Anolis sagrei: one gene and its partners. The protein of the gene in region 1 interacts with the protein of each later gene in a pairwise test. Links are inferred from orthologs where the notes say so. Each region holds a gene or a part of one and is shown in the gene's direction. Other genes may lie near its edges. The genes, in order: TRAF3IP1, SFR1, SMC2 and SPTBN1.

Region 1 (7,614 bases):
GAAATGTTTCTTTGATTTTAAATGTAATGTATTGTATATGTATATTGTAAACCACTCCGATCCTTCAGGGGGTGGCGGTATATAAAATTGATAAATAAATAAATAAATCATCATCATCATTTAATTACTTATTAATCGCCCTCCATCCGAGAATGCTCCAAGTGATTTACAGTTAAATTGTAAAAGATAAAATACATACATACAAAAATTAAAATTAACAGAGATCGAATGCTCTAGTAAAAAGCCAGGTCTTAAGTGCGAGAGTAAAAGGCCCTAAGTCACGCATGGCTCTCATGTAGGGCGGCAAGGAATTCCATAAGTCCGGGGCAGAAATAGAAAAAGCCCTGCGCCTGGTCCTTTCCAAATGCACTTCTCTAGGACCCGGTATATAGAGTAAGTCACGTTGGGCTGGTCGTTGCGACCTCCAATGATGGGAGAAGGAGAGGTGGTCCCTAAGGTACGATGGAACCTGGCCATAAAAGATTTTAAAGGTCAGAACTAACATCTTATACAGGCCACGGTACTCAGTTGGAAGCCAATGTAAGTGTTGCAGCACTGGTGTTATATGGCATTTCATGGGCTTTCTTGTGAGTAACCTGGCTGCCGTGTTCTGAACGATACGAAGCTTTCGGGTCGTAGACATCGGAAGGCCAACATACAGGGCGTTGAATAGTCCAGCCTAGACGTGACCGGCATGGATGCCAGAGCCTCGTCAGATAGGTAGGGTGCCAATTGCCTCGCTTGTCGTAGATGGAAAAAGGCCTGTTTGCTGGCAGCAGCAACCTGTGCTTCCATTGTCAGCTGCGAATCCAAAACGACACCCAAGCTCTTAACGGTAGGCGAAGGAGATAGGGCGGCACCATCGAAGGTGGGCAACGGAGGAGTCAGACCTGCCGGGCGGCCATGCCAGAGAATCTCAGTCTTTGCTGGGTTCACCTTCAGTCTGCTAGCACGCAGCCAGTTCGACAGAGCTTCCAGACATAGGGTGAAATTGTCTGGAATTGACGTTGCTCCAGGCTCCAGGCGCAGAAGGAGTTGGATATCGTCTGCATATTGGTAGCAGTCCAGGCCGAAACTCCGAGCCAAACTAGCAAGGGGTCTAACGTAGATGTTGAAGAGGAGAGAGAATAAAATTATTGAATCTGAAAAGAGGACTAAAGTAAGTAATAGTATAAAGCTGTGCTAAGTTGAAGTTCTCAGGTTGTGTGTCATAAAGGCAGACATTCAAAGGGATTGCTGCTGTCACTTCTTGGGGGGATCATTTGTTTTTGTCTAAACTTTTAAAAATCCCCCAAAATCTGTAGATGTGTTAATCTTTCTGAAATTTCTGAGGATCAATGCCTTGGTTATCTTGTGCATTGTATATGAAATTCCAGGAGATAGCTCTTGTAGTTTTTATAAAAGAAAAATTGTTTGTAAAAAGTTCAAAATTTCCCCCAAAATTAGTGAATGAGTGTAATGTTCTTAAACTTGGCAGGCTAACAGTGGAAACTGTGATACAATTAGAGCAAGTTTTATCATGATAGCATTAAAAAAGTTAGTGCAATTAAATCCTTCATCATTTCCGGATCCTCCTCCCGATGTTTTACATTGTCCTATGTCCCAGTGTTTTAAAATGTTATCCTTGAATTTGGCCCTGCCCAGTGAAATCTGTTGTGTTTTAATGTTTGATTTTATATTGTTGTGTCGCTTATTATATTGGTTTTGCATTTTATGTATTTTATTTTTTGGTTTTGTTATGTTTTTGTGTTATATTGTGTGTACTGTACTGATGGGCGTGGCCTCGTGTAAGCCGAACTGAGTCCCCCTGGGGAGGATGGAGCGGGGTATATATAAAGTTTTTATTATGATGATGATGATTATTATTATTATTGAGGAATCTATTCGAAACTAGGGAAGGGGGTTTATATATCTGTGGTTTAGTGTCCAGGGTGGGAGAAAGAACTCTTGTCTTTTTGAGGCAGGTGTGAATGTTGCAATTAGCCACCTTGATTAGCATTTAATGACCCTTTGCAACATTCACACTTGCCTCCAACAGGCAAGTGTTCTTTCTCCCACCCTGGACATTATTTCACAGATAAATAAACATCACTTTCCTAGTTTCCAACAGACCCCACAACCTCTGAGGATGCCTGCCATAGATGTAGACGAAACGTTGGGAGAGAATGCTTCTGGAACATGGCCATACAGACGGGAAAACTCACAGCAAGGCAGTGATTCCAAACATGAAAGCCTTCGACACCATAATTGAAGGCCTATTTGCAATGGCAACCCTCAAGCAACCAGAAGTAAAGACTTCCTGTATATATTTCAGATTTCAATATTGCATTGTCGAAGGCTTTCATGACTTCTCCGAGTAGTCTGATATGGTGGTTGTTAGAGTTAGACTACTCAGAGAAGCCACTGAAATCCACAAGCATGTGGACAATTTCAACAGAAAGGAGGAAAACCATGAAAATGAACAAAATCTGGCTACCAGTATTAAAAAAAACTCTAGAATTACAACAGCAAAACAACACAAGGGAAACTATTTATTGATTTATTTCGTGCATTCCTACCCCGCCCTTCTCAACCCCCGAGGGGGGACTCAGGGCGGCTTACAAAAGGCACAATTCGATGCCAACACAAACAATAAGATAAAACATATATAAACAGCAATTTAAAACAAAACAATCAAACAATTATAACATCAAAATCAATAAAACCAATCTAATGCTCAACGTTCGCCAGCTCAGAGTCCGTAGATTCATTCCACATTGTCAAATCCTATCAATTCTAGTCGTCGATTGTCCTTTGTTTATCTGCCAGATTACCCAAAAGCCTGGTCCCATATCCATGTTTTTAATTTCCTTCTAAAAGAGAGGAGGGATGTTGATGACCTAATTTCCCTGGGGAGTGAATTCCACAGGTGAGGGGCCACCACCGAGAAGGTCCTGCTCCTCGTCCCCACCAACCTCACTTGTGATAGAGGTGGGGCCGAGAGCAGGGCCTCCCCAGAAGATCTTAAACTCCGAGGCGGGACGTAGAGGGAGATATGTTCAGACAGATACGCTGGGCCGGAACCATATAGGGTTTTGTAGGTCTAGACCAGCACTTTGAATTGTGCTCGGAACTGGATTGGCAGCCAGTGGAGCTGACATAACAGAGGGGCGGTATGCTCCCTGTATGACACTCTGGTGAGTAATCTGGCTGCCGCCCGCTGGACTAATTGAAGTTTCCGAACAGTCTTCAAAGGCAACCCCACGTAGAGTGCGTTGCAGTAATCTATGCGGGATGTAACAAGAGCGTAGACCACCATGGCCAGATCAGACTTCCCAAGGTATGGGTGCAACTGGGACATCTAATCACCTCTCAACAATCTGGAACATCTAATCACCTCTCAACAAAAGATTGCCCCAGGCACTGCCAGGCCATCAAATGCTAATCAAGGTGATCAGTTGGAACATTCACACCTAGTTCCAACAGACAAGAGTCCTTTGCCCCACCCTTTTCCTAGTTCCCACAGACCTCACTACCTCTGAAGCTGCTTGCCCTAGATGCAGGCGAAAAGTCAGGAGAGAATGCCTCTAGAAGAACATGGCCATATAGCCCGAAAAAATCTACAACTCATTCACACTTGCCTGCAACAGACAAGTGTTCTTTCTCCCACCCTGGACATTATTGCACAGATAAATAAACTTCGCTTTCCTAGTTTCCAACAGACCCACAACCTCTGAGGATGCCTGCCATAGATGTAGGTGAAACGTCAGGAGAGAATGCTTCTGGGAAAACTCACAGCAAGGCAGCCATGAAAGCCTTCGAAACCACAATCGAAGGCCTGTTTGTAATGGCAACCCTCCAGCAACTAGAAGTCTATATTTCAGATTTCAATATTAATGTCAAAAATACGTGGTATGATTTTACATAGGATTTGTTCTACATTAAAACAGTAAAGACAAATATCACTTAAGCAAAAGAAACATTAAATAACCAGAAAAATAAAACTCCGTGTACCCTGCTGCACCTGGCAGTCCCCGTGGGCGCCGGTCAAGGGAGACTCTCCAAAAGCGATGGCCCTGTTGACAGAGGCCTAGAGAATGCGAGAGGGCGGAGCCGTCCATGACGTCACCATTTCCCTCCCCCTGCGTCCAATCGGGAGGGCGAGGAGGCGGGGCGGACCGCGCGCCGCCCGGTTGCTAGGCTGGCGGAGTTGGGTAGCAACGGCGGCGGAGGAAGGAAGGCAGGCGGGCGGGCGCGGGGCGCGCCGGGAGTTTGCGAGGGGCCTGGTCCGGTCCGGGCAGTCGGGGCGCCGCCATGCAGGGCTCCATGGTGCGGCGGACGCAGGAGCTGCTGGGTCGAGTGATACGGAAGCCGCCCCTCACGGAGCGCCTCCTCAGCAAGCCCCCCTTCCGCTACCTGCACGACGTGATCGGGGAGGTCAGGCCCGAGGAGGGAGGGAGGGAGGGAGGGAGGGAGGGAAGGGGCGCGAGGGGAGGGGGGCTGCGCGCGTGCCCCGTTGCTAGGCGACCAGAGGGAGGCCTTGGCCCTCACAGAATGCAGGCGTTGGGACTGCAAGCCAGGAAGAGGAGTGCCCACAGTCTCCATGCAGTGGAGCAGTGGAGATGGTTATGAAAACGCTCTTGGGTCGTCACTAGTGTAGAAATAGATAAGAGTTTGTTGTTCACAATCACTGTTCATGATTGGGCCAGGGCCTCATAAACCTTCTCCACTCATGACCCCTTTTTGTCCAAGACAGGTTTCTGTGACCCCTTTTAATTATTGACCCGTTTTAATTACAGATTGTCTAACTATGTATTTTAGCAATGGTTGTTTATTTGCTGTCGGGTTCTATTATTATTTGATACTTCACTTCACTTTATTTCTTAATTAGTCGCTCTCCACCAAGGTGCTCCGAGCAACTTACAATCTAAAATAGCAGTTACACAATATAAAAACATTCAACATAACAACATTCAACAGTGACTATTTGGCAAATTAGATCTGATTACTGAAATGCACACTTACTTACTTACTTAGGCGATCCCTCATTGGACGAGTAAGATGGTCTTCCTTGATGACTATTTTTATGGGTTTGTAGGTGGCTGTGGAGCCCTATTCTTGACCTGCATTTTCTCCCACAGTGAAGGCATTGGTTTCCAGGTGGAAGGTGGTCCCGGTCATGGTTGGCTTGACGTGCCTTCCTCCTGGCACATTTCTCTCTTTCACCCTCCACTTGTGCTTCCTCGAATTCTGCAGCACTGCTGGTCACAGCTGACCTCCAGCTGGAGCGGTCAAGGGCCAGGGCTTCCCAGTTCTCAGTGTCTATGCCAGAGATTTTAAGGTTGGCTTTGAGGCCATCTTTAAATCTCTTTTCCTGACCACCAACATTCCGTTTTCTGTTCTTAAGTTCAGAGTAGAGCAACTGCTTTGGGAGACGGTGGTCAGGCATCCGGACAACGTGGCCGGTCCAGCGGAGTTGATGGCAGAGGACCATCGCTTCAATGCTGGTGGTCTTTGCTTCTTCCAGCATGCTGACGTTTGTCCGCTTGTCTTCCCAAGATATTTGCAGGATTTTCCGGAGGCAGCGCTGAAGGAATCGTTCCAGGAGTTGCATGTGACGTCTGTAGACAGTCCACGTTTCGCAGGCATAGAGCTGGGCTGAGAGGACAATAGCTTTATAGACAAGCACCTTGGTATCCCTACGGATGTCCCAGTCCTCAAACACTCTGCTTCATTTGGGAAAATGCTGCACTCGCAGAGCTCAGGCGGTGTTGTATTTCGGTGTCGATGTTGACTTTGGTGGAGAGGTGGCTGCCAAGGTAGCGGAAATGGTCAACATTTTCTAATGCTACACCATTAAGTTGTATCTCTGGCGTTGGCACAACCAAACAGCCAAGTCTTGAGTGCCTTTACAAAAGGTCGCAACTCTGACATTGCTCTAATGTATGGAGACAATGAGTTCCACAGAATTGGAGTATAGGTTGAAAAAGCTCAATGCCTTGTAGCTTCCAGGTGTACCTCCCTAGGGCCCGGTATGTATAGGCAGGGGTGGCTCAACCCATTACGCAAAGTAAGCATTTGCAGTATAGTTGATTTTGCCCAGGGGCGCTCTTGAGGCGCTCTTGGGGGAAAATAGACCATGACATATGCGAGTTGTAGTTACTGGGAGGTATAGTTCACCTACAATCAAAGAGCATTCTGAACTCCACCAATGATGGAATTGAACCAAATATGGCACACAGAACTCTCATGACGAACAGACAATATATATCAGTGATGGGTTGGGGGGGGGGGCAAAGTACTGTTTGCTTACGGTTGAAAATTACCTAGGGCCGCCTCTGTGTATAGGAGATTTTTCTGGGTGGATCGAGGTGACCACTGATGGAGAAAAGGATTGAGGCGGTCCCTAAGATATAAAGGTCCTTGGCCATTTTGAGCTCTAAATGTCAGGATCGGTATCTTGTAAGAGATCCGATGTTCTATTGGTAGCCAATGCAGTTGTTGCAGAATCGGTGTAATATGGGAACTTATAGATGATCCCGCTAGCAGCCTGGCCGCTGCATTTTGGACCATCCAAATCTTCCGGGTTGTTGACTTTGGAAGGCTGGCATATAAGGCGTTGCAATAGTCCAACCTCGTGGTGACTGTTGCGTGGATTACCGTTGCCAATGCTTCTACCAAAAGGTAGGATGCCAATTTCCTTGCCTGGCGAAGATGAAAAAAGGCCTGCTTACTTATGGCAGTGATCTGGGCCTCCATCGTCAGCGATGAGTCCAACACAACCCCAAGGCTTTAAACAGTGGCAGACGGAACCAGAGCTTCCCCATCGAAACCAGGCAGAGACTGGATTAATTCTGGCGGCTGGCCGGGCCAGAGTATCTCAGTTTTTGCAGGATTCACTTTTAGTCTGCTCGCTCGCAGCCAACTCATCACTGCTTCCAAACACAGCCTAAAGTTCTCAGGAATCGCGGTTGTCCCAGGTTCGAGACGCAAGAGTAGCTGGGTATTGTCTGCATACTGGTAGCACCCTGCCATACGTTGCTGTGGCCCAGTCTGGTGATCTGGAAAATAAAGTAATTCGAAAGTGTTGGTTTCTAATATATGTAATTTCTTTATACTTGTGGGTAAACACTATTTCTTGCTGTTTCTTTGTCAGTGTTAATGTGATGGTTATCTGGTTTGCCTACATGTGACATATCATTGTCCTTCTCTAGGGGTCCCTTTCAAATCTATGATACTATATCTGTGTGTGAGAGAGAGAATCATATCTATCTATCTATCTCTATGGCTGGATGGCTCTTTGTCAGGAGGGCTTTGATTACGTTTTCTTGTCTTGGTGAAGGGAGTTCGACTGGATGGCCTTAAGTATTTTCTGTTGGTCATGGGGGTTCTGTGTGGGAAGTTTGCCCCGATTCTGTCGTTCATGGGGTTCAGAATGCTCTTTGATTGTAGGTGAACTATAAATCCCAGTAACTACAACTCCCAGATGTCAAGGTCTATTTCCCCCAAACTCCATCTGTGTTCATATTTGGGCATACGGAATATTTGTGCCAAGTTTAGTTCAGATCCATCATTGTTCCACAGTGCTCTCTGGATGTAGGTGAGCTACAACTCCCAAACTCAAGGTCAATGCCC
Region 2 (7,648 bases), on another chromosome or scaffold:
CCCTTGTTCTTTGCTTGCTTCAACTCTTACAAGATGAGTTTTGGAGTGGAGTTTTGCCTTCCATTGCTGTAGCATCTTCTAGTTGATGTGTTCTTCCTCATTAATAATGTTTGTCTTTTGACTGCTCTCAGTGTTGCTTAGCCACACATGGACCCATTTTCACCTGTGAAATGTTGGAAGGGGTGCATCTTAGTTTCTAAAGATGCCCAATAGGTGCCTCAAACAGGCCGTAATGCATCTTCAGGCTGTTGTTCCCAAGTACATTTGCCTTTGCATTTTTTTCCTTTTGAAATAGCAGCTGTGTATAGAAAGTGTGTGGGGGAAGATTAACTCTTTCATTGAGTTGTTATAGGTTTTTCGGGCTGTATGGCCATGTTCTAGAAGTATTATCTCCTGATGTTTCACCAGCATCTATGGCAGGCACCCTCAGAGGTTGTGAGGTCTGTTGAAAACTAGAAAAATTGGGTTTATATATCTGTGGAAAGTCCCGGGTGGGAGAAAGAACTCTTGTCTGTTGGAGCTAGATGGGAATGTTTTAATTGGCCACCTTGATTAGCATTTGATGGCCTGACAGTTTTCTAGGTGTATTACTGCCTGGGGGAATCCTTTGTTTAGGGGTTATTAGCTGTCCCTGATTGTTTCTTGTCTGGAGTTCCTCTGAGTGTTGTTTTTTATTTACTGTTACAATTTTAGTGTTTTTTAATACTAGTAGCCAGATTTTGTTCATTTTCATGGTTTCTTCCTTTCTGTTGATATTGTCCACATGTTTGTGGATTTCAATGGCTTCTCTGTGTAGCCTGACATGGTAGTTGTTAACTCTTTCATTCCCCAACAAAGTACAAACAAACTCATCCAAATGCTCGTACCAGAACATACGTTTTAAAAGTACTTTGGCTTGTACTTGTAACTTCTGCTGGCAGATCCCTGAAAAGTTGGAAGCATAAATAATGGCTATTTTTACTGCATCAGTCTTCTGTCTCCACAGTCGGTAATGTCAACAATGCTGGGAACGTTGCCATTTCTCTCAATTTCTGTTTCCTTTTTTGGTTAATATATGGCAAATGATATAAAGTGTTCTTTATTCTTCTTTGCCAAAGAGTGCTATTAATTCATCAAAAGACACCTCCCATGATTCCATTGCATGGAGGTATGACAGTTTAAGTGGTGTCAAAGTGCATTAATTCTGGAGTGTAGATGCACCCTTAGAGCAGCCTTGGGGATGACAGAATAGATTCTATCTCCCTTGAGAAGTGCTGGCACAATATTCTTACAGGGGGGGGGGGAGGATGGATGGTGCTATGCTTATTCAGTTCTTATTGTACGTTATCTTTGCTAAATGAAGTAGCAGCCTTACTTTGCTTAACAGTAGGGCTGGCTTTATTAAGTAGCTACATATGATGAAGAAGAAGCATCATATACAATAGCTTCCATCTAGTACTTACGTTTGGCTCTTTAAATAGATTAAAAAGACAAATGTTCAAACATGTCAGAGGTGAAATGTCCAGGCTGTATTGGTCATATTTATAAACTAAACATGGGGAATGTATTGTTGTAGGCTTTCATGGCCGAAATCATTGGGGTGTTGTAGGTTTTCCAGGCTGTATGTCCATGTTCCAGAAGCATTCTCTCCTGATGTTTCACCCACATCTATGGCAGGCATCCTCAGAGGTTGTGAGGTCTGTTGGAAAATAGGCAAGTGGGGTTTATATATCTGTGGAATGTCCAGGGTGGGAGAAAGAACTCTTGTCTGTTTCAGGTAGGTTTGAATGTAGCAATTGGCCATCTTGATTAGCTCTGAATGGCTGAAAAGCAGTTTATGTGAAACATGGGAAAGTTGTTGTTGGACTCAGGTGCCATAATTTCCAAGCATTCAGGGATGATGGGACTTGCACTCCGACACCTATAAGGCCTCAGGAACCCCAACCCTGCAAAGAATCTGTGTTTTTTGCTAAAGCAACCAGGAAAGGTTTACAGTGAGTAGGAATGTTAACTTGTCACATTGAAGAACTTATTCTAGTCATATCTGTTATTCCACCTTGAATATATCTTTATAGGTTGTTGTATATCTTTATGATTTCTTCTAAGTTGCAAAATCCTCATCCTCCTGCCATTTTTTTTATAAAGACTTTTGCACTGAAGCCTATCATCAATGAAAGCTGCAAAGACTCCTTTGTGCCACCTTCTGCAGAAGAATCACAAAGCCCTGATACAAAGGGAAACCTACAGCCTTGCTGTTTATGTACCTTTAATTCAGTGGTTCTTAAAGCATGCTCCTTGGGGCTCCATGAAGCATGCCGAGGGACTCTGCAATGGCCCCTTGGGTTTCTGCTGCTGTTATTGTTGTTACAAAGCCTGAATGACCATCCCTCGGGGAATTATTTGATTGTGCGTTTCCTGCATGGCAGGAGGTTAGACTGAATGACCCCTATTATTATTATTATTATTATTATTATTATTATTATTATTGAGGTTGAGTAGCCATTAGGGCTGGGCGGTTTCGTTTCGTTAATTCATAATTCGTTAATAATTCGTTAATTTTTCCAATTACAAAACGATAACGAACCATTCTGGAGCAATTTTTTAAAAAAACGAATTTTTAAACACGTTTTGTAAATGCTTCGTATTTTGTTATTGTGTTCGTTTCGTTATTGTTCTGAGGTCGTTTCGTTATTATTTCCGCATGTCTGGGGCAAGTTTTTTGTTTAATTAGTGAAAAAAAATTATAATATCACACCAACAGTCAACAACAGAGGGAGAGGGAAGCTTCAGAAGTTTTTGGAGGTTTTTTAGCGTATTTCGCGGTCGCGTCCGCCATTAACGAATCGATTCGTTATTGATTCGGAAATCGATTCGTTAATGTTTTGTAATTTTTTTCACATTTACGAAATTTCGTAAATATCAAACTTTTTAAAAGGAAAATTTTGTAATTATTTTAAATATCGAAACAAAAAAGCCCCCAAATACAAATCGATTTTAGAAACAAATTTTTCCGTTGTTACCCAGGCCTAGTAGCCATCTGTTGGGGGTGCTTTGTGCTTTTCTTCCATGGCAGAAAGGGATTGAACTAGATGGTCTCCTGGGGCTGCTTCTATTATTATTATTATTATTATTATTATTATTGAGGTTGGGTGGCCATCTGTTGGGGGTGCTTTGATTGTGCTTTCCTGCATGGCAGAAGGGGGTTGGACTATATGGCCCCGGGATTGCTTCTATTATTATCATTATTATTATTATTATTATCATTGAGTCTGGGTGTACTCTTATTACAATGATGATAATTATGATAACAAAGGCTGGGTGGACATCTATTGGGGGGTGCTTTGATTGTGCTTTTCCTGCACGGCAGAAGGAGGTTGAACTAGATGGCCCCTGGGGTTGCTTCTATTATTATTATTATTATTATTATTATTATTGAGGCTGGGTGGCCATCTGTTGGGGGTGCTTTGATTGTGATTTCCCTGCATGGCAGAAGGGGCTTAGACTAGATTGCCCTGGGGTTGCTTCTATTATTATTATTATTATTATTATTATTGAGTGGATGTACTATTATTACAATGATGATAATTATGATTACAAAGACTGGGTGGCCATCTATTGGGGGGGGGGGGGTGCTTTGATTGTGCTTTTCTTCCATGGCAGAAGGGGGTTGTACTAGATGGCCCCTGGGGTTGCTTCTATTGTTGTTGTTGTTGTTGTTGTTATCATAAAGGCTGGGTGGCTATCTGTTGGGGGTGCTTTGATTGTGATTTCCCTGCATGGCAGAAGGGGCTTGGACTACAATGCCCTGGGATTGCTTCTATTATTATTATTATTATTATTATTATTATTATTATTATTATTATGTGGGTGTACTATTATTACAATGATGATAATTATGATTACAAAGGCTGGGTGGCCAGCTATGGGGTGTGTGTGTGTGTGTGTGCTTTGATTGTGCTTTTCTTCTATGGCAGAAGGGGGTTGAACTAGATGGCCCCTGCGGTTGCTTCTATTATTATTATTATTATTATTATTATTAATAACAATAATAATAATATTGAGAAGGCTGGGTGGCCATCTGTTGAGGGTGCTTTGATTGTGCTTTCCCTGCATGGCAGAAGAGGGTTGGACTAGATGGCCCCTGGGGTTGCTTCTATTATTATTATTATCATCATCATTAATATTATTATTATTGAGACTGGGTGGCCATCTGTTGGGGGAGTTTTGATTACGCTTTTCCTGTATGGCAAAAGTTTATGTTGGCCAAAAAGTTTGCCCATACCTGATATATTTAGATAGATAGGTAGATAGATAGATAGAAAAGCGGCTGGGGGGGGGGGGGAGGAAAGGGGCCTGAGGCTGCTAGGAATTGTGGGAGTTGAAGTCCAGAACACCTGGAGGGAGGGCCCAAGTTCGCCCAGGCCTGCCTTACAGTATAGACATCTCTTCTTCCAGCCTCCTTTCCCTCCCCCGCCCTTTTCAGATCGCACTGCGCAGGCGCACACCGATCCGCGTTGAAAGATCGCGAGAAGAGATTTCGGTCGGCTTCCCCGGCGGCGGGAGTTTGGGAGAGATTTGGCTTCTGAGGTAATAAGAAGAGACGGAGGAAAGGAACGAGGGACCCTTTGGTTCACGGCTAATGGACATTGTAGTACGACAGAAGGCCTTGGGGTGCATCTACATCACGCCTGGCCAAGCTTCGGCCCTTCAGGTGTTTTGGACTTCAACTCCCACAATTCCTAACAGCCGGTAGGCTGTTAGGAATTGTGGGAGTTGAAGTCCAAAACACCTGAAGGGCCGAAGCTTGGCCAGGTCTGATCAACACTGTAGAATTAATGCAGTTTGTTACCACTTCAAACTGCCACGGCTCAATGCTATAGAATCTCTATTCGTGCCTCTTCAAATTCTGCAGCACTGCTGGTCACAGCTGACCTCCAGCTGGAGCGGTCAAGGGCCAGGGCTTCCCAATTCTCAGTGTCTATGCCAGAGTTTTTAAGGTTGGCTTTGAGCCCATCTTTAAATCTCTTTTCCTGTCCACCAACATTCAGTTTTCCGTTCTTGAGTTCGGAGTAGAGCAACTGCTTTGGGAGGCGGTGGTCAGGCATCCGGACAACGTGGCTGGTCCACCGGAGCTGATGGCGGAGGACCATCGCTTCAATACTGGTGGTCTTTGCTTCTTCCAGCATTCTGACGTTTGTCCGCTTGTCTTCCCAAGAAATTTGCAGAATTTTCCGGAGGCAGCGCTGATGGAATCGTTCCAGGAGTTGCATGTGACGTCTGTAGACAGTCCACGTTTCGCAGGTGTATAGCAGTGTTGGGAGAACAATAGCTTTTATAAACACACACCTTGGTATCCCTACAGATGTCCCGGTCCTCAAACACTCTCTGATTCATTCGGAAAAATGCTGCACCCACAGAGCTCAGGCGGTGTTGTATTTCGGCGTCGATGTTGACTTTGGTGGAGAGGTGGCTGCCAAGGTAGCGGAAATGGTCAACATTTTCTAATGTTACACCATTAAGCTGTATCTCTGGCATTGGAGAGGGATTGGACGGTGATTGCGGAACAGCACTTTGGTTTTCTCAATGTTCAGTGACAGGCCGAGCTTCTCGTATGCTTCTGCAAAGGTGTTTAGAGTGGCTTGTAGATCTTCTGAATGCGCACAGACGACATTGTCATCAGCATACTGGAGTTCTAGTAACAGATGTGGTAACCTTGGTTTTGGCTTTTTCATCACCATTATTATGCTCATTGGTCGATATTCATGGTTTCTGTGCCCAGAGATTCAACCATCCATGGCTTTAAAACATGCCCACATGTAAACCTTGATTTTTTCTCTCTCTCCAGTACATTAGTCAACTCACAGCAAACCATTAGTCAGTTCTCACAATGGAAACAACTGTGTTAAATGAACCTACATCACTATGCTCCACTCCAGAAAGTAGTGGTCTGAAAAGCAGCAGCTCCTCAGAGAAACAGGTATGTTGCCTAATATTTCCAGTTCTCTTGTTAGCACAGGAGATTCAGTTAACCGGCACTCATGGGGATTGAGAGATGCTGGATAAAGGTAGTTTTTGGTTTTTTGGGAGTTTCTATTAAGAATATTCGACTTCTTTCTGTACCATAAACACTATTGGCTTGATATTAATATTAAAATATATAATTAAAAGCAAATAAAGGCAAACCATTTAATGTAATAGTTTTACAGTTTTGCTGCATTATAAAAGCCTTTTAAATTTAAAATATTATTTCTCTGTGGGTTTTTTGCCAGTTGCTTCAAGAGTTCTGGTTAACTGAATCTACTGTATTTCCAAATTGTTGTGAAGCCTGATTTTATGTAGAATTGTGCAAACCTTGGCTATACTGACAAACATAACTCCACAGTATAGTACATATGCCTATAACAGATCTATGTGTAACTAATTGGTTTCTCCAGTATTGAAAGTAACAATTATAATTAATTTGCTAAGGGATTCCTTCACTCCACTTGCAATTTATTTAGTTCCTATATATACTTGAGTTATGTCCCCGCAAATTGACAAAAAAAACAACAACCCCAAATCAAAAACCTGGTTTGATTTATATTCTGGTTAATCGCAGCATTGTTTTTGAACTGTTTGACTGCCTAGGTGCAGTGTTGTCACTAGGGCAGTGTAGAGGCCTGTGGTGGAGGTGACACCAAAAGGATGGCCACTGTGACAGCCTGTGCTGAACACATCGTGTCACTCCCAAGAACGGTCGCCTGTACCACAGTCTCCACACTGTGCCCTCCCTGTTGGGTTGCTCAGAGCAGGGAGAGGGGTGGTTTAATAATAATAATAATAATAATAATACTTTATTTGTACCCTGTTACCATCTCCCCAAGGGACTCGGTGCGGCTTACATGAGGCCAAGCCCACAATACAACATTGGAACAATAGCAACAGTAATAAAAACAATAAATAAAACTCATAAACAGAAAATAGCAATAAATATTAACAATAACACAACGACGTTTAAAAACCTATGGCAGGGTCAAATGTACTAATTAAAAATTTAAAAAATAATGCTGGCCGTGACAAGGTGACAATAAACAAGATAAAAATTTTGGAGAGGGATAGAGCGTGCAGACAATCCTAGATCACTACTAAAGTGCATTTAGGGACATATTGTTGGGAGTTTCCTTATTCTGGGAAGGCACAGTGGAACTTATTTGCAAATAAGCAAAAATGATAACCCCCCCCCCCCCCCCACGCATCCCTTGATGCTGTTGTGGCTGCTAGCGCTCCTGTGCTCACAGTCCTGTCCTGGCTTCAGTGGCAATGAAGTGCTCCTCATCTCCAGCTCCCAGGCTGTCAGTAACATTGTATAACGCAGCTTCAAGATGACTTGAAGCCACAACATGTAAATTGCTATTGCGCTCTGCAACATGTATTACAGGAGATACCTGCATAGTGGTTTGAGACTGTGTACCATTTTCAATGTCATCACTGGTTTGTTTTCAAATCCTTTGCACAGTGAAACTAGTTCCAAGCTACATTATACAGGGTTAGTCAAAATGCATAGGCCAATAAGCCATTCAATTGAATGGCTTATTGGCCTATGCATTTTGACTAACCCTGTAGTGTCAGTGTAGATATGTCCTGGTTTACTTTGCCTGATTGTTGCTGATCCCCTTTTTTACATGTTCTT
Region 3 (7,700 bases), on another chromosome or scaffold:
GGGGGGAAAGACCTAAAAATATAAAATGAGGCCCTTTGACATGAACAATGGCATGTTGGGGGGAATGGTAAGATAAACTTCCACTAAATAAAATAGACAAGCTCCCAATAGGATCCTTAGAGAACAGAAAATCCCAGGTATACTGAAATATGCTAAAGAAATTGGAACAGAACTAGCTGTACCCGGCCACACGTTGCTGTGGCATATTTGTCCTGTTTACTTTGAATGTGTTTGTTTCTATGTATGTATGTATGTATTCCTGTGCTACTGTCCCTCCTCATTGCTGCATTCAATGCAGAAGGTGCCATTGTTGGTGTATCACCATTATGTAAGATGGCCGTGCCGGGTATTCCTCACAGTTTAGAGGCCGAAAACCCCCAACGAGTCATCACTTCCACTTCAGAAGAGTATAAATCATTTCAGTAGATTGTGTTAGTTATACTATAATTTTTTACCGGCTGTGATGAATTGTGTGGGGGAGGCCCGTGGCTGACTGGAAGAGAGGCCCCAAAGGAATGTCAGAAGCGTTCCCCTTGGAGAAGATGGCGGCGGTGGAGGGGGATGGGGAGGAGGGATGGATTGGGTCAGGGCGGGAAGGGACGGGGATTGGAGGGGCGTAGTTTCCTGGGAAGGGGCGTGACCGGTGGAGGAGGAGGGGCAGGAGGGAAGGATTGCGTCAGTGCGGGAAGGGGCGGGGCGGCGAAGGGAGGGGGCATTGGCGGCGGAGGAGGGAAGGATGGCATATGGGCGGGTAGGGGCGGCGGAGGGTGGGGGAGTGGTTGTGTCGGAGGGGGCGTGGGCAGGGGAGGAGGAGGAGGATGGCGTATGGGCGGGTAGGGGCGGTGGAGGGTGGGAGCGTGCCTTTCTCGGGGGGTGGGTGGCGGAGGGTGGTTGCGGGAGGGTGGTTGTGTCGGAGGGGGCATGGGCGGAGGAGGGGGAGGAGGGAAGGATGGGGTATGGGTGGGTAGGGGCGGCGAAGGGAGGGGCGTGGTTCAGCCATGTGCACGCGCCGGGCAGCTCACGCCGGGACGGCTCTGCGCATGCTGTTTGTTTCTGTGATTGTGAGTTTGTTGTAATGTTGTAACCTACAATACCAAGTATACATCCAAACTAGTATATCATGGCATAGCTTTGGAAACCATTAAGTAAAACAAATTATAGCTATCTAATGCACTTTTCTAAGTTTTGAAGAACAATTCTCACAAACTGTGTCAATTTCTTCACAGCATATAGTGGGATTTTTTGGCTTGATATTCTAGGTTATATGGGTGTTTGGAAGGGCCCTAAGGATTCCTCGAGCACCCACAGATTTTGGTATCCACAAGTCCAACAAGGACATAGTAACATCACCCTTACACAAAGTGATAAAAATCTCTACAGGCAACTCTCAAGTTAGGAAGGTAAGATTTATTGTTTATTTACAACATTTATATGCCGTCCTTCTCGCCTCAAAGGGGACTTAAGAGCGGCTTTACAAGACATATATACATACAGTACATTATATCATTAGCCTAGTACAATATCAATAGATTCTGTAGATTTGTTCTTAAGTTTAATTCATATTTAAGCCAGAACAGGTACACATTTTAAAGTGTAACTAACTGCAGTGTTTGTTTTGCTATCTGTGCCCCTGTTCAGATTTGACGTCACTTTCACTCCCTGTGATAATTTATTTTGAAAAATGTGGCTTCTTGTGGGAATAAGGATCAGAGAAAAAGCTTCTGTGGAGACCCCCTTTTCCCCTTTCAGAAGTGAATGTTCCCTTCCAAGGAGTTGATTTCTCTCACTTCCTGTTATCATGCCCTTGTTCTTAACTATGAGTTGGATGTAACTCAGATACTGCCTGTATGTTGAGTTATTTCTTAATGATTATTCCTGCAGAATACTCTGAATAAGATCCAGAAGCCTTATATCTTTTTCAGCTTATTCTTCCAAATTTGTTCTCCATATCACAACCTACACCATATCCCAAATAAAAACTGGTTATCAAGATGAAGTTTTTTGCCTCCATCACTTTGGCTGCAAGTACCTAAATCTGAATACACCCCAGAAATTAAAGATGTAGTAAAAGATTTTGTAACTGGATTCATTTTTCCTCCGTGATTGCCATCTAATTTCCAGATTTATTACTTAACTTCCAAACTCTCCTTACTTCAATTTAATTTTCACTTTATTTGTACTCTTATAAATAAAACAGCTCCCCAAGATCTGGTTATTGTTCTCAGAAGAAATTGGGAATAAGCCAGTAAAATAGACCTTTTTTACATCTAAAGGAGGGGGGGGGGGAACCCCACAAACAGCTACATGCAAAATTGACACAAAAAGCTAAAATTGAGATAAACATCTTGAGATAAAAGCCATTTCGTTAGTTTCTGACGCAATGGCAGCTCCTACTCCATTTTCTTTCTACTGGAGTACATGGCATTTCACACCCAGGATAAAAAGTGGTGCAGCTGTTATCTGAAATCACTACATAAATTGTTTATAGAATATATAAATTAATAGTATGGAAAATGACCAAAGCACCTATATAAACAATGCCTATATAGTAGCTTGCCTCTATAAATAGCGCCTATATCAGTGTTGCACAACCTTCCTAATTCACTGAGACTTTTTTTTTCAGTGTTCTCTTGGAAATACTGGTTTGCAGATAGACATCTCAGACACACCACCAATTAACTAATTTGCACTGATAAAATGAGTATTTTTTTAGGTTTCCAAACAATGCAAGCTTTTATTTCCTTTAGGATCAGTGTTTCTCAACCTTCCTAATGCCATGATCCCTTAATACAGTCCCTCTCATGTTGTGGTGACCACCAACCATAAAATTATTTTCATTGTTACTTCATAACTGTAATTTTGCTACTGTTCTTAATGGTCATGTAAATATCGGATATGCAGGATGTATTATCATTCACTGGACCAAATTTGGCACAAATACCTGACGTGCCCAAATTTGAATACTAGTGGGGTTGGGAGGGTTGAACAGACCTCACTACCTCTGAGAATGCCTCTAGACCACGGGTCCTCAAACTTTTTAAACAGAGGGCCTGGTCACAGTCCCTTCAAAGTGTTGGAGGGCCAGATTATAATGTGGAAGAAAAAAAAACCATGAATGAATTCCTATGAACACTGCACATATCTTATTTGTAGTGCAAAAACACTTTAAAACACTACAATAATTAAAATGAAGAACAATTTTAAAAATATAAATTTATTAGTATTTCAATGGGAAGTGTGGGCCTGCTTTTGGCTGATGAGATAGGATTGTTGTTGTGTGCTTTCAAGTCATTACAGACTAAGCAAGGGCCAGGTAAATGACCTTGGAGGGCCGCATTTGGCCCTCGGGCCTTAGTTTGAGCACCCCTGATCTAGACCATGGCCATATAGCCTGAAAAAACCTACAACAAACCCAGGGTTGATTTTGTCATTTGTGAGCTGTAGTTGCTGGGACTTGTAATAGTTAACCTACAATCACACCAGCACTTTTTAACTCTTGTACCCATTACTCTGGCCCGGCCCAGTTTTATTGCGTCTTAGTCCATTGTTTATTACTTGTTGTTTAGTTTGCTTAACTGTTTTTAATTTGCCTTAGGTTTGTATTGTTGTATTGTGTGTTGAGGCCTTGGCTTTTGTAAGCCGCATCGAGTCCTTTGGGAGATGCTAGCGGGGTACAAATAAAGTTTAATAATAATAATTCTGAACTCCGTTAGACAATCTTCTTTTCCTGCTTTCCTAAAACTAAATTGTTCTCACACTTTCGATGTATTCTTGGTTTTCTTTCTTCCCTCTATTGCTTTCTTTTGGAACTTTCTATTTCTATAAATTATAACAATAACAATATTTCAATAAAAAAAGAAAACTGCGTTTTTATGGTCTTCAGCGACCCCTCTGATACCCCCCTCACAACCCCTCGACCCCCAGGTTGAGAAACACTGGCCTATATAGTAGTTATCCCAGATAAACAACGCCTATTTGGTAGCTAGCCTTATAAATAATGCCTCTATGACAGCTAGCCTAGATAAAGAACGCCTGTATGGTAGCTAGCCTGTGAAAAAAATGCCTCCACAGCAGCTAACCTCCACCACCAACCTCCCTCCCGCTCCCTTCCCTCCGCACAAAATGGGCGCCGCCACGCCGTGCACCCGCTTTTATAGCAAACGCTGAAGCCGTGACGTCAGCCAACGGTTCGGCCCTCGCGCTCCAAGCCTTTCTTTCCTCTCTGATTCACAACCCAAGAAAGGGGCGGGGCGAGAGGCTTTCGGTGACGTTAGTACGGCCTCGAGAACGCCTGGAGAGAAGGGGGAAATAAAATCAGGCGGCACGATAGGCAGCTATGTCGGGAGCGTTTGAGCGACAGAGAGGAAGGGGTCCTCTTTCGCCCGCGCCAAAATTCAAGTTGAGGAAGAAGGCGTAGAAGAAGCAGGGCGGGAGAGAGGTGAGAAGCAGACCTTCTATTCAATGCTAGGCAGGATAGTGGGGTATGTGTACAGCTCACTGTTCAAACATATAAGCCCGAAAGCTCTTGGCCTCAGTCTCCCATGGCTTGCTCGCTGTAAGGAACAGAAACAAAAAGAGATACAAGAGAGGCATTGTGTCCAATTCTGGGCACCACAATTGAAGAGAGATATTGACAAGCTGGAATGTGTCCAGAGGAGGGCGACTCAAATGATCAAGGGTCTGGAGAACAAGCCCTATGAGGAGCGGCTTAAGGAGCTGGGCATGTTTAGCCTTCAGAAGAGAAGGCGGAGAGGAGACATGATGAGGGCCATGTATAAGTATTTGAGAGGAAGTCATAGGGAGGAGGGAGCAAGCTTGTTTTCTGCTGCCCTGGAGACTAGGATGCGGAACAGTGGCTTCAAACTACAAGAAAGGAGATTCCATCTGAAAATTAGGAAGTACTTCCTGACTGTGAGAGCTGTTCAGCAGTGGAACTCTCTGCCCTGGAGTGTGGTAGAGGCTCCTTCTGTCGTAGCTTTTAAACAGGCTGGATGGCCATCTGTCAGGGGTGCTTTGAATGCGATTTTCCTGCTTCTTGGCAGAGGATTGAACTGCAAGGCCCATGAAGTCTCTTCCAACTCTATGATTCTATTTGGAGTGCACTTTCTGCGCCCACCACCCAAATGTTGACATTCTTCTGCTTCATTCACGCTTGCATCCTGCACACACTCATCACATTATGGGTAGTGTTTGCTTATTTTTTTAAATTCGTTTTTCTCCCCCCATATAAGGACTACAGGTGGCTAAAAATACAAAGCAGTACTAATTAAAAACAATGTAAATGCCTTCATACATATATATATATACATATATATATATTTACTTAGCTGATCCCTCGTTGTTCGAGTAGGATAATCCTCCAGGGTGAGTCCGTAGGTGACTATCGAGCCCTATTCTTGATCTGCATCGTCTCCCGCAGTGAGGGCATATATATATTCTGTAAAAAATAAACCCTTTTTGTTATTAAATATATTAAAATGTATCCAAACGTTGTCCCCACCTTAAACTCTCAGTGCAATTGCTTTTGAAAAACCTGCCTCTCACAATTTATATAGGGATCCCATTCAGCTGCAGTTCTCTGAGGCATTTTTGCAAACCATCCTTTCTAAACATGGTTTTTGATCATGAAATTACTATGTTTTTAGTCCTGCTACTTGTGGTTGGACACTAATAATAATACTAACTCTGGCACAAGCCAGTAAAGGTGGTCCCAGTGGTGATCGGCACACTGGGTGCAGTGCCTAAAGACCTTCGCCTGTACTTAAACACAATCGATGCTGACAAAATTACCATCTGTCAGCTGCAAAAGGCCACCCTACTTGGATCTGCACACATTATTCGCCAATACATCACACAGTCCTTGACACTTGGGAAGTGTCCAGCGTGTGATCCAGTAGAACAGCAAGCATAGTGATTTTCTTTGCTGTGTACTAATCTTGTTGTGTTTATAGTAATAATAATAATAATAGAAGAACTTTATTGATACCCCACCCTATTTCTCAGAAGGAACACAGGGCAGTTTACAACAGATATCAGCAGACATTCAGTTCCTTGAGAATCTTAACAAAGACAAAAATAACCAACCCCCAATCCCAAAAACAAATCCACATCTATATCTAAAATAATAATACACTACGCTGCAATTATACTAGTAATATATGTAACACGTTGCATACAATTATATTATTAGTATACTACAATATATAAAATACACTACTAGTACACAATACTGAGTGTGATCACAGGTTACAAGGCTAGGAAAAAGTTAAAACTTGTTTTTTTCAGCAGGCCTTCAACAACATTTTGATAGTAGCCAGACTGATACCCAAGTATTCTAGCATTTTATATCCACATTTGATTGGTTTACAGCTTGGATCCTAAACTGATTGTATGGACAATTTAATCAACAGCTATTACTGATTTTATTTGCTTGTGTTAATTGTATATGTATATGTTTATGAAAATGTTTTATCGATCTTAATGTTGATGTATTGCATTTTATGTTTGGTATGGCACCAGTGGGTGCTATTTTGTGAGCTGCTTTGAGTCCTTATGGGAGATGGTGGCGGGGTTTAAGCTAAAGTCTTAATTAAAGCTTCTAAGGTGACTGCCAGCATCTTGAACTGAACTTGGGCTTCATACCATAAATATTCATAGCCCAGTACAGAAGTGACAGTCTTTTAACAGAACTCGGTGGTTTATTTGTATCCCCCTTTGCTTGACTTGACATGTAGAACTTTTGCTGTACATGATTTCTTGTAAAAGAGGGTCCAGTGAGTTCAGTAATGCTTACTCTCAAATTATTGATCACAGTATTTGCTGCATCTGCCCTTTGCTTGAATGTGTACACTGCAATTTTTTGAAGCATGACTTTTTTAAAACCATAAAAATGCAGAGTGCCCATACTTTTTTCCATACATAGATCTGCTTGGAATTTACAAGAAGACCAGTTGAAATGTACATCAAATCAATTGTCCTTGAGGGATTCAAGTCTTATGCTCAAAGAACAGAGGTTAATGACTTTGACCCATTGTTCAATGCCATTACTGGTTTAAATGGAAGTGGCAAGTCGAATATCCTGGACTCCATCTGTTTTTTATTGGGCATCACCAATTTATCACAGGTAAGTATATATTTTATATATCTCCCACTTCTTCACCCTTCTCCTATTTATTTATTTATTTTTATTTGCTATATTTATATACTGCCGTTTCTCAGCCTAGCCGGCGACTCAACGCGGTTTACAACATAATATAACAATCAACAATATACAGTTAAAAGCATAAAAAACATAAAAAACATAAAAACACAATTCATACATCAATACCAATCCAGTTCGACTCTTAACTAAAAACGTGATCCAGTTCGTCATCCATATTGCCAGTCCTTTAGTCAGTTACCATTCGTTGCATTGGGTTAACCAAATGCCTGCTTAAACATCCAGGTCTTCAATCTTCTTCGGAATATCATCAATATATCCAGCAATATATCCTTGCTGACCGAAAGGATAGCGGTTAGAATCCGGGGAGGGGGTGAGCTCCTGCTGTTAGCTGCAGCTTCAGCCCACCTAGCAGCTCGAAAGCATGCAAATATGAGTTGGAGGCGTCTGTGGACAGCACCAGCTCTTCGGCTTAGAAATTGAGATGAGCACCACCCTCCAGAGTTGGACACAACTAGAATTAATGTCAGGGAAAACCTTT
Region 4 (8,292 bases), about 140 Mb from region 1:
ATTTTAGAGTAAGCAGGTGGGAGTGGGTGGTAAAATGGGAGAATGTGGTTGGTTACCAGGACAACAGGATGGAGCGTGGGAGACGGAGGGATGCGGATGGGTTGAGGTGGGCAATTACAGGAGAGAAGCTGCGGAGAGAAGTTTTGGAAATAGGCAAACTCCAACATCAATTCTATTTTAAGCGTGGAGGTTGCTCATGCTTGTGCCACTCGGGGTTCTTTATATCTTCAGCAAAATATTTTAATCTGTTTCTTGTAAAACAGATATTCCTCTTTTAAGAAAAAAAGACCTCTGGCAGTGTTGTAGAGAAAAGTTGGTGTGTGTTTTCCATCTGAACCCACACTGATAGGATTCGAACACCCACATGAGGTTTTTTTTTTCAAGTTTTAAGAATGTTTTGTGCCTTTTTGTACCTTGATTATATTATTAATCTGTATTGCTACCCTTATCTAACATCTGCATCTGATAAAACAGATTGGATAAAACAGAGTTTATGATACACACTTCTTACTTTCAATTTCAAAGATGCTGCAAGATAGTTATATATACTATATAAGTTAATCCAGCTACATATTTGTACCTGGGTCTCTATTCTGTTTCTCTTCTGACTTCTAACAAGGTCATACCTTTCCAAACATCATAAAATAACTAAAAGGTTATGCGGATTTCCATTTTCCAAAATGATATGGACAGAGCTTTGCTTTTTGGTGGTTTAATGCAAACAAACTTTGGTACATGCACAAAATTATTAAAAAGATAGAATAAGAATATTAATACATCTTGACAGAAGATGGAGGAGTTGGGAGGGATGGGCGACAGAGTTCACGTGTGAAGTCAAGGACAGCTGTAAGAGATGATGACGGGGTCAGATCATCATCGGATGATGAGCTGTAAGATAAAAGTAGGCTTTGAAATGGGGAATCTGCAGAAGGCGAAGTGTTGGTTTCGTACCTTGGGTTTTGTCGCTGCCATTTTTGTGTTAGGTTTGGGCCCTGGATCTGCAGGTTGCTGCTTCCGTTCGTGTGTGTTTCAACTCGGCTTAGATTCTCGTGAGTGCAGATTTCCCCTTCTTTGACTTCAGACTGGTTTCGACTACAACGCTGCCTACGTGGACTTTGGAACCTCGCAACTTCGGACTTGGCTTACTTTGACCTCGGACTTCGTTTGACTATGTCTCCTTCTTTGCAACTCTTTGTTTGTTCACCCTTTACTTGCTGTGTTATTTTGTGTGACTTTTGAAGCGCTTTAGTTTAATCCGGATCTTTTCTCCAGATAATCCGGATTATTGCTTCAGTTTACTTTTTGAACTGGAACTGGTTACTACTTTTGAGTTTTGATCAGGGACACTGAATTAAGTGTCTCTGAGTCCCTTTTGCTTTGTGTTAATAAACTCTACTTTTGGACATACTCTTGAGTCTGGCTCTTTAAGGCATCTGGGTTCCGACAGGGAAGAACTCAAGATTTTGGGCAACAACAACAACAATAATAAATGCAAATACTCCAAGCATTTCGTGTAAGGAATACTCAATCTGCAATAATAATATCCAGATAATGACGACTGTGATTAAGAAAATGAAAGTTAGATGGTAGGTGTGGCAATACCAAGAAACAACAGAATCAAAAGCAAAAGCAAAGCTTGCTCTTTGGAACTATATTGGGAATATTTTCAAGCTGTGGTTGGTTGAATCCATGTGTACAGAATCAGTGGATAGGAAGAGTCAGCTGTATTAGCCTAACGGGCTGAGAATGGCGGTTAATAAGTGCATCAAATAAATAAATAAATAAATATTAGGAAATATTGAGAATTAGAAATGAGATTCAACACCTCTGGGAAAAGGAAATAACTGCAGTTCTAGTAGTGACAGGTGCTCTGAGAGCAGTTCCAAATGAACTGACAAAATATCTGGAGGTAATTGCCATGGGCAGGATCACAGTGGAAGAAATTCGAAAAATGACTGCTTGAAACATGTCACTTTATCCAATACTTCCCTGGAGAGAAGTCAAATCATTGACAGTAAAAGAAACATTGGTAAAACCTGGTTACCTGTAAAATAGCAGTAACAACCACTCGTAGACATATAAGCAAAATGTAAGGTACAGGTAAATGTTTCCCCTTGACATTAAGTCCAATTGTGTCCAACTCTGGGGGTTGGTGCTCACCTCCATTTCTAAGCCAAAGAGCTGGCATTGTCCGTAGACACCTCCAAGGTCATGTGGCCCGCATGACTACATGGAGTGCCGTTACCTTCCTGCAGAAGAGGTACCTATTGATCTTCTCACATTTGCAATTTTCGAACTGTTTGGATGGCAGAAGCAGGAGCTAATAGCAGGAGCTCACCCCGCTCACCAGATTTGAACCGGCGACCTTTCGGTCAGCAAGTTCAGCAGCTCAGCAGTTTAACTCACTGCGCCACAAGGGGCTCCAATGAAATATTTTATTGTATTTTAATATATTTTGGAGTACTGACATCAAAAAGCACAATAGAAACATTGAAACACACACAACTCTTTCACATTTTCAACATTTTAAGGAATTCAGGGGATACTCAGTTTTGATTCAGTGTGGATGCTGATGTTCCAGTGCAATTTCTTTTAATGCTTTTGAATAGATTGTTGTGTTGCCTATCATAGAATCATAGAGTTGGAATGGACCTCATGGGCCATCCAGTCCAACCCCCTGCCAAGAAGCAGGAACACCGGGATTGTGGCTCAGCTGGCTGAGTGTCAGCTGCATTAAGATCACTCTGACCAAAGGTCATGAGTTCGAGGCCAGCCCGGGCTGGAGTGGGTGTCCAGCCATTGTGTAGCCCGTTGTCGACCTTTGCAACCCGAAAGACAGTTGCATCTGTCAAGTAGGAAAATAAGGCACCACCTTGTGTGGGAGGCTAAATTTAACTAATTTATGAGGCCATAAAGAAAACTCCGGGGAATGTGGAATGCGGAAGAACTTCATCGGTGTCGTTGATGGACGATGAAAAGCAGCAGTTCCCCTGGCGGCCAGAAAAAAGTTAAATAGCCTTGGTGTATTTGTCTGTATTTGTTGTCTGTCAAACTGGCATTGAATGTTTGCCATATATGTATTTACTGTAATCCGCCCTGAGTCCCCTGCGGGGTGAGAAGGGCGGAATATAAGAACTGTAAATAAATAAATAAATAAATATTGCATTCAAAGCACCCCTGACAGATGGCCATCCAGCCTCTGTTTAAAAGCCTCCAAAGAAGGAGCCTCCACCACACTCTGGGGCAGAGAGTTCCACTGCTGAACGGCTCTCACAATCAGGAAGTCCTTCCTCATGTTCAGATGGAATCTCCTTTCTTGTAGTTTGAAGCCATTGTTCCGTGTCCTAGTCTCCATGGAAGCAGAAAGGAAGCTTGCTCCCTCCTCCCTGTGGCTTCCTCTCACATGGACTATCATGTCTCCTCTCAGCCTTCTCTTCTGCAGGCTAAACATGCCCAGCTCTTTAAGCCGCTCCTCATAGGGCTTGTTCTCCAGACCCTTGATCATTTTAGTTGCCCTCCTCTGGACACATTCCAGCTTGTCAATATCTCTCTTGAATTGTGGTGCCCAGAATTGGACACAATATTATTATTATTATTATTATTATTATTATATTCCAGGTGTGGTCTAACCAAAGCAGAATAGAGGGGTAGCATTACTTCCCTGGACCTAGACCAGGGGTCCTCAAAGTCGCCGGAAGGCTGAGAGAGGAAGTATACAAATATAGTAAGTAAATAAATAGAATATTGAAGGAGAAGGAGAAGAGGAGGAGGAGAAGAGGAGGAGGAGAAGAAAAAGAAGAGGAGGAGGAGGAGAAGAGGAAGAGGAGGTGAGGGGGAGGAGAGGAGGAAGAGGAGGAGAAGAAGAAGAGGAGGAGGTTGAGGAGGAGAAGAAGAAGAAGAGGAGGAGGAGGAGGTTGAGGAGGAGGAGGAGAAGAAGAAGAGGAGGAGGAGGTTGAGGAGGAGGAGAAGAAGAGGAGGAGGAGGTTGAGGAGGAGGAGGAGAAGAGGAGGAGAGGAGGAAGAGGAGGAGAAGAAGAAGAAGAGGAGGAGGTGGAGGGGAAGGAAAAGAAAAGGAGGAGGAGAAGAAGGAGGAGAGGAGGAGGAGAAGAAGAAGAAGAGGAGGAGGTTGAGGAGGAGAAGAAGAAGAGGAGGAGGTTGAGGAGGAGGAGAAGAAGAGGAGGAGGAGGAGGAGGAGGAGAAGAGGAGGAAGAGGAGGAGGAGAAGAAGAAGAGGAGGAGGTGGAGGGGAAGGAGAAGAAAAGGAGGAGGAGGAGAAAGAGGAGAGGAGGAGGAGGAGAAGAAGAAGAGGAGGAGGAGGTTGAGGAGGAGAAGAAGAAGAGGAGGAGGAGGTTGAGGAGGAGGAGAGGAGGAGGAGGAGAGGAGGAGGAGGAGAAGGAGAAGAAGAGGAGGAGGAGCAGAAGAAGAGGAGGAGGAGAAGAGGAGGAGGAGGAGGAGAAAAAGAAGAGAAGGAGAAGAGGAGGAGAAGAAAAAGAAGAAGAGAAGGAGAAGAAGAGGAAGAGGAGAAGGAGAAGAGGAGAAGAAGTATAGGAGGAGGTTGAGGAGGAGGAGGGGGAGAGAAGGAGAAGAAGAGGAGGAGAAGGAGAAGAGGAGAAGGAGAAGAAGAAAAAGAAGAGGAGGACTAGAGGAGGAGGAGGAGAAGAGGAGGAGAAGAAGAAGAGAAGAGGAGGAGGAGAAGAAAAAGAAGAGGAGAAGGAGAAGAAGAAAAAGAAGGAGGAGAAGAAGAAGAGGAGGAGGAGGAGGTGGAGGAGGAGAAGAAGAGAAGGAGAAGAAGAGGAGGAGGAGATTCAGCTTCAGCTCCTTCCCTTCCCTTCCCTTTTCCCTTCAGGAGCCTTGTGTGTGTGTGCGCGCGCGCGCGCGCCTTCCTCAGCGACCGACGTGCGCGCGCTCGCTTGCCTGCCCGCCTGCCTTTATATTATTATTTATTTTTTGTGAGCGCGCGCCGTGGCTCTTCTCTTGCACTTCCCGCCCCTTTTCTCTCTCTCTCTCTCTCTTTCTCTCTCTATTGCCCATTTGGCCGCTCGCTCCAACCAGTGCAGCTGTTGCTGTGCTGGTGGGCATCGGAGGGAGGCAGGGAAGGAGGCGGGCAGATAGGCCGGGCTCTGGCGGAGCTGCTTGCTTGTGCTGCGGATTCCTGGAGTCCCTCCCTTTTCCCCTCCATCCATCCTCCCTCCCTCCCTCCCGCCCTTCCTCCGCTTGGTGCCCCCTCCCTCCGCATTGCCATCCCTCTCTGCTCGCCGCTGCTGTCCTTTTTCCCCCTCCTCCTTTTCCTCCTCTTCTTCCTCTCCTCTCTCTTTGGCGGACCCCCCTCGGTCCCTTGGCCGGCTCCTGCCTTCCTCCCACGGCCGAGGAAAGGCAGCTCGAAGGCCAGGGAGAGAGAGAGAGAGAGAGAGAGAGAGAGCCTCCTGAATCATCGACGCCACCGAGAGAGAGGTAAGCCGCGGAGCCTGAGCCGGGGTGGTAGGGCAAGGAAGGGGAAAGGCTGCAGGAGGAGGAGGAGGAGGTGGAGTGGCCCTGCCTTGGCACCCCAGGAGAGGGTGACCCTCCTGGAGGGACCTGTCACTCTCTCCTTGAGGAAGGAGGAAGGAGGAGGAGACACTCTGCAATCCCAATTCTCTCTCTGCTGTTTTGTCTCCTTGCCATTGGCATGCAGGCTAGTCCATGCAGAGAGTGGCAAGACAACAACAACTGCTAGGCAGACCTCGCCCCTCCAAACCCAATCCCACTCTCTTCTTATGATTGGTATTATGTGTGTGCGTGTGTTTGTCTTGAGAAACTGCAAATCACTCCTGGTATAGAGAGAATTGGCCATCTGCAAGGACGTTGGCCAGGGGATGTTTTGCGGTTTTACCATCCTTGTGGGAGGCTTTTCTCATGGCCCCGCACAGGGAGGTGGAGCTGACAGAGGGAACTCATCCACACTCATGTCCCCGCATTGGGAGATGGAGGTGACTAAGGGAGCTCATCCACACTCATGTCCCTGCATGGGGAGCTTGAGATAACAGAGGGAGATCATCCACACTCATGTCCCCGCATGGGGAGACTCATGTCCCCACATGGGGAGCTGGAGCCAACAGAGGGAGCTCATCCACACTCATGTCCTCGCATGGGGAGCTGGAGCTGACAGAGCCAGCTCATCCGCACTCATGTCCCCGCATGGGGAGCTGGAGCTGATTGAGGGAGCTCATCCGCACTCATGTCCCCGCATGGGGAGCTGGAGCTGACACTCATCTGCACTCATGTCCCCACATGGGGAGCTGGAGCTGACAGAGGGAGCTCATCCGCATTCATGTCCCCGCATGGGGAGCTGGAGCTGACACTCATCTGCACTCATGTCCCCGCATGGGGAGCTGGAGCTGACAGAGGGAGCTCATTCGCACTCATGTCCCTGCATGGGGAGCTGGAGCTGACAGAGGGAGCTCATCTGCACTCATGTCCCCGCATGGGGAGCTGGAGCTGACAGAAAGAGCTCATACACACTCTCCCCAGATTCGAACCTCTGACCTGTCGGTCTTCAGTCCTGCCAGCACCCGTTGTACCACCGTGGGGCTCCTATATTATGTGTTGTTGAAGGCTTTCATGGCCAGATTCCGGGGTTCAGTGTGAGTATTCCAGGCTGTTGACCATGTTCCAGAAGCATTCTCTCCTGATGTTTCTCCCACATCTAGGCGAGGCGCCCTCAGAGGTTGTGAGAGGATCTGAGACCTCACCAACTCTGAGAATGCCTGCCACAGATGTGGGCAGGAGAGAATGCTTCTGGAACATGATGGCCATACAGCCTGGAAAACTCACAGCAAACCAACAGTAACAATAATGGGTTGCTGTGAGTTTTCCAGGCTGTATGGCCAATGTTCCAGAAGCATTCTCTCCTGACATTTCTCCCACAACTATGGCAGGCACCTTCAGAGGTGGTGAGGTCTGTTGGAAACTTGGCAAGTGAGGTTGATATATCTGTGTATGGCCAATTGCAACATTCACACTTGCCTCAAACAGACAAGAGTCCTTTCTCCCACCCTGGACATTATTCCACAGATATATAAACCCCATTTTCCTAGTTTCCAGCAGACCCCACAACCTCTGAGGCAGGTGAAACATCAGAAGACAATGCTTCTGGAATATGGCCATACAGCCCAGAAAACTCACAGCGAGCAACCCAGTGATTCCGGCCATGAAAGCCTTCCACAAGACATTGTTATTGGGATTGGATTACCCGCCTCCTCCTCCTCACAGGATGAAGAAGTGGTCCCCTGACCAGGGAAAGGATGAAGGAATCCCATTGACAGGCACTCACACACCAGGAAGCATTGAACCTGAACCTGGAAGGGTGCTGGCTTGGATGAGGATGGAAGGAGGGATGGAAGGATGGGGAAATAAAAGAGGTGATGGAGGCCCGGCTTTGGGGAGCCCCCTGATGCAGAGTGCCACCCCATAAGCAGCCCCACAAGGGGTTAGGCTCTCCTCAAAGCCCAACCAGGCGTGGTCGCTGCTCTCCTCCCATGCCTCTCTCTCTCCCCACCCTTTTTGGCTCCCCCCCTTCCTCCCTCCTTTTGCACCCAGTTGCTTTTGGAGGAGAGTCGGGTCCAGGTTGCTCTCCCTCTCCCCAGTTCTCCTCGCTCCCCTCTTTTCCGACATCAACAGGTTTGTGCAAATGGATGCACTTGGGAGAGGGAGGGAGAGGGAAGGGAGGGAGGGAAGAGAGATTAGGCTTTGCAGTCCTGTGCCTGGGTGTTATCCCCCCCCCCCCCTCATCCCCTGAGAACAACAATAGCGGCTTTGCTTCTCAATCAAGAGATGAAAGTGAATTGTCATCCTCATCCTCCTCATCTGTGCTTTTAATAGACACTATTATTTAATAATAATTAAATCAAATTATTATTTATAATAATAGAATCCTCCTCCTCATCTGTGACTTTTAATAGATATTATCATTTAATAATTAAAATAATAATTTTAAAATAATAATTGTAAATAATAATAATAATATTATTTACAATTATTATTTTTAAATTATTATTTTAATTATTAAATCATAATATAATATTATAATATTATTATTTACAATAACATTAGTATCTGTCATCTGTGCCTTTAATAGTTATTATCATTTAATAAATAAATTAGCAATTAGACTAAACTATTATTATTTACAATAATATTAGTATCATCTTCATCATCTGTGCTTTTAATAGATATTATTTAATAATTAATAATTGGATTGAATCATTATTATTTACAATAATATTAATATCACACTCATCATCTGTGCTTTTAATAGA

What was found.
Region 2: the proteins of TRAF3IP1 (region 1) and SFR1 interact in a two-hybrid assay, tested with the Homo sapiens proteins (2 studies listed by BioGRID and IntAct). The link is inferred for Anolis sagrei from reciprocal best matches to the Homo sapiens genes TRAF3IP1 and SFR1.
Region 3: the proteins of TRAF3IP1 (region 1) and SMC2 interact in a two-hybrid assay, tested with the Homo sapiens proteins (2 studies listed by BioGRID and IntAct). The link is inferred for Anolis sagrei from reciprocal best matches to the Homo sapiens genes TRAF3IP1 and SMC2.
Region 4: the proteins of TRAF3IP1 (region 1) and SPTBN1 interact in a two-hybrid assay, tested with the Homo sapiens proteins (2 studies listed by BioGRID and IntAct). The link is inferred for Anolis sagrei from reciprocal best matches to the Homo sapiens genes TRAF3IP1 and SPTBN1.

Annotation. Positions count from the first base shown.
Region 1 is NC_090021.1:161,923,359-161,930,972, forward strand, and holds the start of TRAF3IP1 (TRAF3-interacting protein 1), read left to right. Parts: upstream 1-4,190; 5' UTR 4,191-4,293; coding exon 4,294-4,416; intron 4,417-5,608; exon of another isoform or gene 5,609-5,684; coding exon of another isoform or gene 5,685-5,798; intron 5,799-7,614.
Region 2 is NC_090023.1:213,235,032-213,242,679, reverse strand, and holds the start of SFR1 (swi5-dependent recombination DNA repair protein 1 homolog), read left to right. Parts: upstream 1-4,464; 5' UTR 4,465-4,566; intron 4,567-4,774; exon of another isoform or gene 4,775-4,976; intron 4,977-5,029; exon of another isoform or gene 5,030-5,280; intron 5,281-5,824; 5' UTR 5,825-5,866; coding exon 5,867-5,956; intron 5,957-7,648. UniProt on the Homo sapiens protein: Component of the SWI5-SFR1 complex, a complex required for double-strand break repair via homologous recombination. Acts as a transcriptional modulator for ESR1.
Region 3 is NC_090022.1:206,333,259-206,340,958, forward strand, and holds the start of SMC2 (structural maintenance of chromosomes protein 2), read left to right. Parts: upstream 1-4,304; 5' UTR 4,305-4,438; intron 4,439-6,922; 5' UTR 6,923-6,955; coding exon 6,956-7,123; intron 7,124-7,700. UniProt on the Homo sapiens protein: Central component of the condensin complex, a complex required for conversion of interphase chromatin into mitotic-like condense chromosomes.
Region 4 is NC_090021.1:17,026,758-17,035,049, reverse strand, and holds the start of SPTBN1 (spectrin beta chain, non-erythrocytic 1), read left to right. Parts: upstream 1-5,053; 5' UTR 5,054-5,449; intron 5,450-7,552; exon of another isoform or gene 7,553-7,654; intron 7,655-8,292. UniProt on the Homo sapiens protein: Fodrin, which seems to be involved in secretion, interacts with calmodulin in a calcium-dependent manner and is thus candidate for the calcium-dependent movement of the cytoskeleton at the membrane.